3 linked regions of the Alligator mississippiensis genome follow. The protein of the gene in region 2 interacts with the protein of the main gene of each other region in a pairwise test. Links are inferred from orthologs where the notes say so. Each region holds a gene or a part of one and is shown on either strand. Other genes may lie near its edges. The genes, in order: DMRT3, REL and OSTF1.

Region 1 (3,745 bases), on a different chromosome or scaffold from region 2:
CCCTCCTGTAAGATTTGAAAATCATAATCTGGAGAGGAGGTCTCGGAGTAGACTTGTTAACCAATGAACCAGTTTAACTTAGTGTTAAACCCCTCCAAGACCCACCCCCAAGAGTCAAAGTGTAACTCCTGACTATCAGGGACAAGCGGGCTGCCCCCAGGGACCAGTGCACATGGCTCCAAGGCGGGCGGGAGCCCTCGGAGTTTGGTGCAGAGCCCAATGCACCAGCCCCAGGCTCCAGCCAAGCCCCCTGCTTCACTCCCACGGGCCGGGATGGCGCGGGGCTGAGCCTGAGAAAGCCTCAGCTTGTCCATCGGGGGTTTCCTCCCCACGGGCAGCAGCCCCCCCCAAGACTATGAGGGCCGCTGGGATGCACAGCGCTGCCCCCACAGCTGCCATGTGTGGGGATGAAGAGGGCTGGAAACCCCCCTGCGCCTTCCTCTGGCTCAGGGGCCATGTCCCTGCTCTCTGCACACTTTCTCTGCCTCAGGCTTTCGCTGGGGCCATGAGGAGCAGCCTGGCAGCCCCTCTGCGTGCAGGGAGCTTCTGTCCCTCAGGGAGGAGGATTTCCAGAATGATTTTGCTGAGCCAAAACAAAAATAAATCTCTAAAAAAAGTGTTAGCTGTAAAGTTATTCAGAGGGGAGGGAAGAGGGGCTGAAGAATGAAGTAAACAAATGGCAGGAGCTGCTGCCCCACTCTCACATTGCCCCAGGAGAGCGCACAAACAGGGCAGGGTCTGCGGGGGTGGGGGAGCCGGGCAGGAAAAGCAGGCTCCAAGGGGGATCTGATTGTGTCCCACCGGGGGCCGCACAGTGCCTGCTGGCTGGGAGCTGCCCCTTCCCACTCATCTCCGCTGCCAGTCCCCACTGGGGCGAGTGAGGAGGGAGCAAGCCACGGATCTGGCCTGGAACAAATTCAATCGGGCTGGGCATAAGGGCTTTGCCCTCGCCTTGCCATACAAGCTGCCATCTCCTGGGACAGCCCATGGGTCCCTCTTGCCCAGTGCCTTGCAGGGGCAGAGAGTGGAGCTGAAAACAAGTGAGGAGTGGGTCTGAGGAGGGTCTTCCCCACTCCTCTCTCGCTTGCAGCCCCCAGCGTGGGGGGCTGATCCAGAGGCTGTGCCCCTCACTCCCCTGCTGCCCCTTTCCTCCAAGAAGGTGTCCAGTCCCTTTCTGAATCTGCCTAAACCATCAGCTTCCCCCGCATCTGGGGGCAAGGAGTCCCGCAGGCTTTGAGGCACTGCATGAAGAGGAGCTTCCTTTTGTTTCTTCTCAACTTCCTACCTTCTCCTTTCATCTTCTGCCCCTGGTTCTTGCCCGCTGAGAGAGGCAGTGATCAATCCCCACCAGCTTTCTCCTGCCCGTGGACTTTGCAGGGCTGGGAGGTCACCTCATGCAAGGCAGGATCATCCCTCTCCAAACCCTCCCTGTACAAGTAGGTAAATCTCCTCTCCAGCCTCTCTTTTCTCAACCACCCAGGCCTGGGCTCCTCACAGGGAAGCCCCTCCATCCAGCTGATCAGCCTGGCAGCCCTGCTCTGGGTCAGGCCAGCGTCCCCTAGGCAGCTCATCTCCAGGGAAGGAGAGTCCTTTCCCTTTTTGGGGGGAGGGAGGGATCCCACTCAGCCTGAGCCCCCCATGCCTCGGGAATGAGGGCCAATGAGGGCTGGAAGGGAGGGCATCCAGCCCGACACCCTGCTCCGAGCAGGACCCACCGCATCCGGACCAAAGGCTTTGTCTCGCCGGCGCTCCCAGCCCTCCAAGGCGGGAGGAGGCTCCCTGCGCTGAGAAAGTTTGCCCGGTCTCTCCAACCCAACCCCGCCCGGCCGCGGGAGCCTCACCTGCTTTGGGCGGCGGCTGAAGGCCGGCGGGCGGGTCGGGCGCCCAGCGCAGGGCGGCGGCGGCGGCCAGCTCGGCCGGGGGGCGCTGCGGGCTGGCGGGCGGCGGCGGCGGCGGGGCGCCGGGCAGGGCTCGCAGGGAGTCGGGGATGAGGCTCTCGAGGCTCTCGTTGGCCTGCTGCCGCCGCAGCGCCACCTGCGCCGCCATGACCCGCTGCCGCTCGATGATGAGGATGCACTTCTCGCAGGTGCAGTCCTTGAAGCGGCAGTAGCGCTTGTGGCCCTTGAGCCAGCTGAGCACGCCGTGGTTGCGGCACCGCGCGCACTTGGGCGTGCGCTGCAGGGGCGCCCGCGGCGGCTGCGACACGGGGCCGCCCATGTACAGGTAGGGCGAGCCGTAGCCGTTCATGCCCCGAGCCGCGCGCTGCTGCGGCCGCAGCCTCTGCCTCCGTGCGGCCGCTCGCCGGCCCGAGCCCCAGCCCCGCACCTGCCTCCCACCTGCGCCCGGCCTGGGGGCGGGCCGCGGGAGGGAGCGGGGGGAGGCGCGCCGGCTCCTGGGCAGCCGCTGCAGCCACTGGGAAGCGGGCGGGAGGAGTGTGTGCGCGCTGGGGAGGGGGGGCTCCCCCACTTGGGGCTTGCTGCTGCTGCCTCCAGGGCTGGGCCGGGCTGGGGGCAGCCGACCCCTCGCTTGCGGCTTCTCGGGGGGGTTCCCCAGCACCCCTCGCTTGCAAGGAGGGCGGGGAGGTGTCCCCCCCCCCCCTGCAGCAATGAGGTGCCTGAGCGGGCTGCACGGGCCCCGGCTGCTCTGCACCAGTGGGACCCGCCGCGCTAAGTTTCACAGGACGGGTACCAGGGGAGAAGGAGCCGGGCGAGAGGCGCCGGTCCCATCCCCTGCGCCCGCCGCAAACCGGCTCCCAACCGGCCGCGATCGCATTTCCTGGCGGAAACAAATGGCCGGAGCCGGCGGGCCCGAGGTCTTGCCTCCCCGCCCGGCTGTTTCTCGCCAAGATGGCTCCTGCCATGCCCCCCCGGGCAGCCCCCTCCCCGGCGGCCCACCCCGAGCCGCAGTCCGTAACTCTGCTTTCCAGCTCCCCCAGCCCGCGCGGCTCAGCTCCCGGGCAGGCAACCAAAGGCGCTTCCCAGCAACCTTCCCCGAAGAAAAAATAACCCCCCAAACCCCGCCGTGAATGCAGCTTGGGATGAAGCAAATTCATCTCAGGCGGTTGTTAAACCCGGACAACCCCCCGAGCTGACTTTCGGAGCGTGGCGATCGCCCTTCTGCTCCCACATTCACTCCGTGCCAGGGGCCGCGGGCTGGTGGCCGCGTTTGAAAGTTTGCCTTTGTTGTTCCTCAACCAACATTTTGTTAAAAAGAAGTTAGTTTTATGCCGCGGCTGTTTGATGGCAGCGGTGACATATTTAGCAACTTTCAAACGTAGAGATCGCTCATTCACTTCGAAAAGTCTTTTTGCCCAGAAGGAGTAAAAGTGCGAGACGGATACACGCGACCTGAGATTTCACTCGGTCCCGTGTTCCTTTTCAAAGCCCTCCTTCGCTTTCCCAGCTGGTCGATTCGTATTTTACACACAAATCTTGCCGCTATCAAAGGAGAGGGGCTTCTTGTCTAACTCATCTGTTGCTTTTTACATGACGAGGAAACTGAAACAGATCGGGAATAGGGCACGCAGTCCATTTATTTTCTGCAGAATGCCCAAATCGCAACACAATGTTTCCCCCGTATTGTTTGTGTCTCTAACGTTGGTTGATGCTAGTCTCACCCCGAGAATATTACACAGACATAGACCACGTTTCCTACAGGCAATTTTAAGCCCTTGCAAAAATCTCTCTCTCTCTCTCTCTATATATATATATCTATATGTATCAATCTGTATCTAGAGATTTTTTTC
Region 2 (3,745 bases):
GTGATGGGAGCGTGACCACAGTGGCTCCACAACATGAATCACTATCCAGAATGCCCATGAAGTGAGGTATATGCAGCAGACACTATGGTGGCACTGCTGAGAAAATTCTGGCTGTCCAACTCACATGATAGTGATCTGTTCAGAGCCTCTGAGCCAACTCTTCCAAGCTGAGCACCCCAAAAAAATGAGAGGCCGTTCAGAAAAGTCAGATATTATATTCTAAGTATTTGCAGCTCTCTGAAGGGTAGGGGCCTAGGCAGACAATTCAGAGGTAACATGTCTATTACAAAATATTTGCCTACAACCTGAAATAAGTGCAAATATCCTCTTAATTTAGAAAAGAGTAATCCCCTACCTAAGTCTTCAGGACCTGCGTAGCACTCTAAGCAAAACTGCTTTGCACACTTCCTCTTTGTTATCATGTGACATTACAGAATAGTAACAAAAAGTCAGTAAATACTAGGAAGTTAAGAGCTTCCTCTGCTGAAAAATTCCTTTGCCAGTTAGTTGCCAATATGTTGAAAATCTATTCAGCACTGATAACAGAGAGATAGATATCTCCTGCTTCAGCTTACCCGCTTTAAAATACAATATCAAATTTGAAAGGGCACAGGCTCAATAATTTTATTTATCTGACTATAAGCCAACATTTAGAAAAGCAGATCAAGCACATGCACTAGCAATGGCTGACTTAACACGCAGATCACAAAGCAGATACAGGTTAGACAACATTTTTCTTGAGGACAGCAACTACTCTTAATTAATGCAACCACCTCTAAAATGGATTTTTTTTTTTAATTTCTATGAAAGATGCAAGATCAAAAGCTTTTCTTAGATAAAAATTAATTGCATTATGTCTGCTGATTCCTGTTTGCCTGCTCCATTTATGTTTATTACATTGTTGTTGTGGCAGCTCTCCCTCTCTCACTTCTTTCTCAATATCCTCTTCTAATGTGAACAGCATTCATCAGCTGAACATCAGACAGGTCTTAGACAACTGGTAATCACCCCAGATCTGAAACTTATATGTACATTTGGCTCTTTTAATTTAATTTCCGCTTGTTTTTTAAGTTTAAATGAGCCATTCTGAAAGTGATCAGTCTTAGCTCTAAATTCACATTTTCTAATGTTTGTTCACTATCTATTTTGTTAAAACCAAATAAAGTAAATATTTGGACAAGTGTTTACTACTGTTCCTAAAATCATGATTGTAGATTTTAACAATAGTACTTTAAGTAGCAGAAAAATAAAAACAAGCAGGCCAACAGATTTTCAGAAGTGACTAGTGATTTGGGGCTACCAATCAGTTATCAATTTAACGTAACTTATAGGAAGCCTTAGAACCTAGCCCCTGAAAATCAGTTCCCTTTAAAAAAGTGTCTCAGCTTGGACACCTAAATATTAAAGCATCCAAACCACAAGTCAGTTTATAAAATGCGTGCACAATGGCAGCTTCTCATAGCTTAGCAGATTTACTAGTCTAGGTGTACCCTACACACACACTGCGGGGCTGGGGACAGTGGGTCAGGAGTGAGGGGCAGTGGGTCAGGACTGGCCACTGGTGTTTACAAATGGGTCCTGATACAAAAGAGGTTGAGAACCACTGCTTAAATGCACAGTTATAGTCCTGAGCCTCTGACTACAAATAGGCAAGACATGCCAGGGGCTGTCCAGCAGAACAGCAATTTTTCATTTAAAAAGTGAAGGTTTGGTTGATATATGGGAGCATGCCTTAGAAGGCAAATATACCAACCACAGCAGGAAAAGATACCAATCCATGCCACAACAGCAGAGAAGGATTTGGGCATCATAACAGGTAACCAAGTTGCCTAAAACAAGTGCCTATATTTAGCCACCATGTATGCAATGGAAATTACACTGCCTTTAACGAAGATGCAGATTATAAATGGATTGTTTGAACTTATTTCATGCTTTTTCCTGCAGAGCTAAGTCAGGAGCTTTGAGCTGAAAAGCACCATCAAAGTGAGGGTGGAGGAAGTCCTTCTCCACATTCTCGTGGGGGGGATGCGCATGAAAACCCGATCGGGAACCACTGCTCCAAGTGAAGTGAGCATCAGCTCAGGAAAGCCTGTGTTACACAGCCAGAGATGAGAGAGCCACCGACACAATGTCGGTATCTCTAAGGGACAGATCCGTCCTGCCCTGTTACAGGAAGGGACCCGCTCACCTGGGCTCCATTTGGTACGCACATACATACACACAGAGCTTTCCATGTCCGCTACACACACCCATGTCTACTACACACACACGGCCACTCTACGCGCACGCGCCTCCATTACCCCCCCGTGCCCACTGCCCCGCGGTGCCCGGCCGCACTCACCCGCCATGGCGCTAGCCCTCGCACGCGGCCCGCTGCTTGCTGCTGCCCGGGGACTCGGGCTCGGCCGCGGGTCCCTGTGCAGCTGCCGGCCCGGTCCGGCCCAGCCCGGCCGTCCCGCCCCCGCAGCTTGGCCCCGCCCCGCCCCGCGCGGGAATTTCCCCGCCAGTGACGCGCGCCAGGGCTGGCCGCCGCGCTCTGCTCGTCCCCGCCCCCGCCCTGCCCCTGGCGAGGCGCGGCGGCGTCTCTCCGCCCGAGACACGCGCGGCCAGTCGGCCGCCCCCGGCCCGGGACACCTCCTGCTCTGTGGGGGAGGCTCTGGCTCGTCTGAACAGGTGGAGACTGGAGGGTTTCACTTACCTGCCAACCTGCACAAGGGCAGAGAAGGCCACTGTCTTCACCCGCCTGAAGGACCTAAGCCAGGGACTAGCGCGGAATTTGAAGGGAAGGGAGAATTTCTCTGTCTCTGCCTGACACACATGCACACACACCGAACTGCAGTTTAATATGCATTATACACACAGGATGAACTGCACACACACACACTGCAGTTTAACATGCATCGTACACACAGGATGAACACACACACACTGCAGTTTAACATGGATCACAACTGTAGTTTAACATGCATCGTACACACACAGGATGAACTGCACACATGCACACACACGGCCTGAAGTTTAACATGCATTGCACACACAGTGAACTGCAGTTTAACATGCATCACACATGCCAGATGAACTGCACGTACACAAGCTGCAGTTTAACATGCATCACACACACACACACACACACACACATAGAGGATGAACTACACATGCACATACAGTGAACTGCAGTTTCACATTCATCTCACACCCACAGGATGAATTACACACGCACACACACTGCAGTTTAACATGCAGCTGTGGGAGTTATTGGCTGAGGAGTTGCACAGTTTTGTTCTCCGTCCATCCTTTCCACCAGTTAGCTAAATGCAAGACTAACAGCACATTCATGGTCAGTTGGACAAAGCTGACTTACAACACCCTAGAAACAAAAGGCAGGATTCAAAAAGATTTGACTTTTCGTTCCACTTTGTACCAATTTAACATTCAAAAGAGGGGAAATATCACATCGTTTCCTAGACCAGTGGTACTCAAAGGATGTACTGTGGAAGCAGCAAAAGTGTGTGCTAAAAATGGGTTGGGTGGGGCTCTGGCTTCATCAGCACCACATACAGGATTGGACCCACAGACTGGATCTGGCCCACAGACTGGTGAGTGAAGTGTGCTGCCAATTTTAATCCAGAAAAAAAGTGTGTCCCAGGTATCAAGCTTGGGAAACACTATACTAGTCACTAGCCAAAACCTATTGGCCTGCTAGCCAAGACCTAGTGACCAGCCCAGAATTTAAATGAGTTATCAT
Region 3 (3,745 bases), on a different chromosome or scaffold from region 2:
CTACTGATGGAGCACTCTATTTTTAAAGTCTCTCTATCTAGCTATTGCTTTCAATTCTGTTAATTTTGTTGCACTAAATAAATGTTGAACTAATCCTCCATAGATGCAAGGGAAACTAGGGTCATGTACGGTGTTCAAAGGGGCAGGGAAGCCTGAGAGGTGCTGGGGAAGCTTCGGTGAGTGTGTGCATTTAAGCAACAAAACGTAAATAAAAAAAGATGTGGGAGGCATGGGGCACTTCTGGCTGGAGAGCTACAAGGGGGCATGGAGGAAAGAATGAAAGTAGAAAACCTGGAAATTTGTGAATAAAGCTTGCTTATACATAAAAATACTGCTATTGTTTGATATCAGAGGGCAAATCCAAGTATGTTTTGCATGCCCTATTTGTGCATCTCTATGCTTTAGCAGAGAGCACATTAAAAGACATGCTGCAAATGAATATTCATAAAATTAGTCCTTGCTTAGGTGTTTATGCTCAATTTTTGTAGCAACTGCAGGACTACCTCCTGATCCATCTTCCCACTGAGGTGAATGGGAGAAGTTTCCATTAGAATCATAGAAAATGAGGGTTGGAAGGGACCTCGGGCAGTCACCTAATCCAACCCCCTGCTCAAAGCAGAACCATCCCCATTCTCCATCTCCTAACACAAGAACAAGCGCATGTTGGACAAAAAAAAGGACAGAAAAGAATTTTAAAAGATCAAAAGAAATGCTCTGAAAAAGCAGAGAAGAGAGAACTCAGTGCAACTGGACCAGCAACTTTCCTGGCCTCAAAAAGAAGCCGTATAACACACTCAACAACCTGGTAGTTACTAGGAAAGACAGAAGCCTTATGCTTCATAGAATTATAGAGAAGTCGGGACTCCTAGAGATCATTGAGTCCAGGGGTGGGCAAAATACAGTGCGGGAGCATCCAGCTTGCCAGCCCATTCTATCTGGCCCGTGGGCCCCCTAGAAAATTTAATATACGTTTGCTCCTGGCTGCTTGTCAAAGATATCAAGGTCCAGGGGCAGTAGGACCCAGGGGAAGCCAGCAGTGGGATGCAGCAGCAAGACCCACCTAGCTCTACCCCCCCAACCAGAAGCCCCTGTCTAGCAGAGGCTTCTGGCCTGGGACTGTGGGGCTGTTCCTGCTTCCTTGTGCCGGAGAGAGAAATGGGGCCCTCAACATCTTGCCAAAACTGGGTAAGTAGCCCTCCACCTGAAATAAGGTGCCCGCCCCTGATCTAGCCCAACCCCCTGCCTGAGGCAGGATCATCCCTATCCAAACCTGTACAGTTCAACATCTAACTTCTGCATGACTTTCAACCTTGCCACAACACAGACCTAACCCCTTCACCTGCCACATGTAAAGCAGGGGAACCATTCACGCCACCACTGTTCCTTCAGTGTGCCTGCCCCACCTCCCTCCTACAGTAGCCTGTGGCCGGGTTAGGGCGGGGGGCGAGTGGCCAGACACGAAGCCAGCAACAGGGGGAGTGTTGGTGCCCCCTTGCTATGGCACTGGGTGCCTCATCGGTACGCCACTGTGTGCACAGCATGATTTTTTATTTTTTTATATAAATATATATATTTTGTTTGCAGCTTAGTGGGAACGCTGGCGCAACCTTCCTGCTTCTATAAAAATGCTTCCAATATATTCTCCTGGGTAACATTTTGTGTGGCGTGAGAGGATAGGTTAGGGAGCAGGCCTAGCTCTATCTGTGGGAGGGCAGCATTACGTAGGCATCAGAGTCCTAGACTCTGACTCCCGCAGCCTGGGCTGCATTGGTCCGTACTAGGCAGCTGCTGCCTCCATTTTCCCCACCTGTAAAATGGGGAGAAGGACATTGGCTGCTGCCTTCCAGGAAGCAGTAAGTCAAAGCCACTAGGCAGCCCCTCACTGGGCCAGGCCTCAGCATAGGGTGGTTTCTTGCACCTTCACCTCCAGCCTCTGAAGCGGGTGCAGGAGGGCTAGGTAGCAGCTCTTTTCTACTCCTGCCAGCTCCTGCCTTCTGCCCCTGCGTTTGCCACAGCCCCACCCCCACCCGGCTCTCGTTTCTGCAGGGCAAGGGTTAGTGGCTGCCTTAGCAGCGGCTCCCCGGTTTAACCCCAGTGTCATTCAGGTGGAGGCAGAGACTGGGGGGGTCAACCCGGAGCGGTCACGGCCGCCGGGATCCCCCTCCCGCGGGTGCCCACGTGTCATTGCGGCTCTGCCCTACCCCTACCTGGCTTGGCCGGTTTCGGCGGCGGCTTGGACATGGCTGCGACTCTGGCCGCCCCACCCGGCGGTGCTGCTAGCGCTGCGCGAAGGGGCGCGGGGCGCTGGGCTCCCTTTGGGCGGCAGCGACGAGGAAGTGCGAGGCTCGGCGACCCCGCGCGCGGGCTCCACCTGCAGGCGGCCGTGGGGCGCTGCAAGCGGGGACCGGGAAGCCAGGGAGGGAAGGCAGCAGCCAATCCCCGCCGGGGCGGAGGACGAACGTAGCCAATGGCTACAGGGTGGGCGGGGTCACGGAGGCCTCGCCCCCTTGCTCCTCTTCTCCCCCCTCCCTTCACCAGTGGGCGGGACCAGGTCTTACACGTCAGGGAGTGGGGGTGGGGCTGGGGCTCCGGCCGCAGTAGGGGGAGGGCAGTGTGGCGTAGTGTCTTAGTGGGGGTGGGATTCAATTGTGTGCGTCACAATGGAAATGGGGCGGGGGTGGAGCTCTGCAGCGCTGCGTTACAATCGGGGCGGTGGGTTCCTGACGCAGCGCGGGAGGGTGATTCCGTGCAAGGCTGCAGGCGGGCCCCGGGGACTGTGTGGGGCATCGCGGGGGAGGCCGCCTGGCGCCTGGTGGAGCTGCCCCGCGTTGAGCGGTGGGTGCTTGCCCACGCTGGGCGTGAGGGGCTGGCGGGTGGGCAGCAGGAGGGGAGGGGGGAGCTGAGCCTGTGTGCAGCGCTGTCCAGATCCGGGACCCTGGAACCTGATGGAAAGCTGCCGGCCTCCGCGGGAGGGTATCAGCCAGGGCGGCGTTTCCCAACCCGTGGGGCGCGACCTTCTTGGTGGTTAAGATCAAGTGTACTCGCTGCACTGGTGCGGTACCGGAGCTGAAATGGATTTAAATAAAGGGCATTGTGTGGCGGAGGGGGCACCCTTGTCCAAATGCACTGTGGACAGGACACCTTGTAATTGGCTTCCAACTGGCCAGTTTCCAGCAGGACGACCTCGGCTATGCACCTACTTTATGGAATTGGGGCACCTCTCCCTAGCTTTCTAATGCATGCAAGCGAGGCTTGGGGGGGCATCTGAACCCCAAGCCTCTGGGCTTGGGTCTGCACATAGGTCGCCTACCAATGGATTTGGATTTGGATTTGGAAGTATCTGAAGCCCTAGGCTGTGAAGTCGGGTGGAGGATAAATGCTGGTTGCTGTGCCACATATGGTGTTTAAACTATGAGTTTTGCTCAGTCAAAAGGAGTCAGAACTGATCTGGCCTAGAACATTAAAAATCTTCCACAAAAAAATTAAAAAGTGGGTTGCAAGAATATATGAAATGGTCGCAAGCCGACTTTAAAAATGGGTTCTCCTTTAAAGGAGAAAAACCTAGGAAACTCTGGGTTTTCCCCTTGGAGGCTGGCAGAGTTCCAGCGTGCAAGGGGCTGCTTGGGGCTTCCCACAACCTACAAACCACCCCGCCTCCTGCCCCACATGAGGGGGCGGCAGGTCCAGAGTGAGGGGCACTGGGTCAGGACTGGACATTGATTTTTACAAATGGGTCCTGGTACAA

What was found.
Region 1: the proteins of REL (region 2) and DMRT3 interact in binary tests that used the Homo sapiens proteins (3 or more experiments, as listed by UniProt). The two-hybrid records come from large-scale screens. The link is inferred for Alligator mississippiensis from reciprocal best matches to the Homo sapiens genes REL and DMRT3.
Region 3: the proteins of REL (region 2) and OSTF1 interact in binary tests that used the Homo sapiens proteins (3 or more experiments, as listed by UniProt). The two-hybrid records come from large-scale screens. The link is inferred for Alligator mississippiensis from reciprocal best matches to the Homo sapiens genes REL and OSTF1.

Annotation. Positions count from the first base shown.
Region 1 is NC_081826.1:192,449,868-192,453,612, forward strand, and holds the start of DMRT3 (doublesex- and mab-3-related transcription factor 3), read right to left. Parts: upstream 2,813-3,745; 5' UTR 2,248-2,812; coding exon 1,842-2,247; intron 1-1,841. UniProt on the Homo sapiens protein: Probable transcription factor that plays a role in configuring the spinal circuits controlling stride in vertebrates.
Region 2 is NC_081824.1:211,735,008-211,738,752, reverse strand, and holds the start of REL (proto-oncogene c-Rel), read right to left. Parts: upstream 2,469-3,745; 5' UTR 2,349-2,468; coding exon 2,342-2,348; intron 1-2,341. UniProt on the Homo sapiens protein: Proto-oncogene that may play a role in differentiation and lymphopoiesis.
Region 3 is NC_081826.1:197,735,764-197,739,508, reverse strand, and holds the start of OSTF1 (osteoclast-stimulating factor 1), read right to left. Parts: upstream 2,367-3,745; 5' UTR 2,242-2,366; coding exon 2,208-2,241; intron 1-2,207.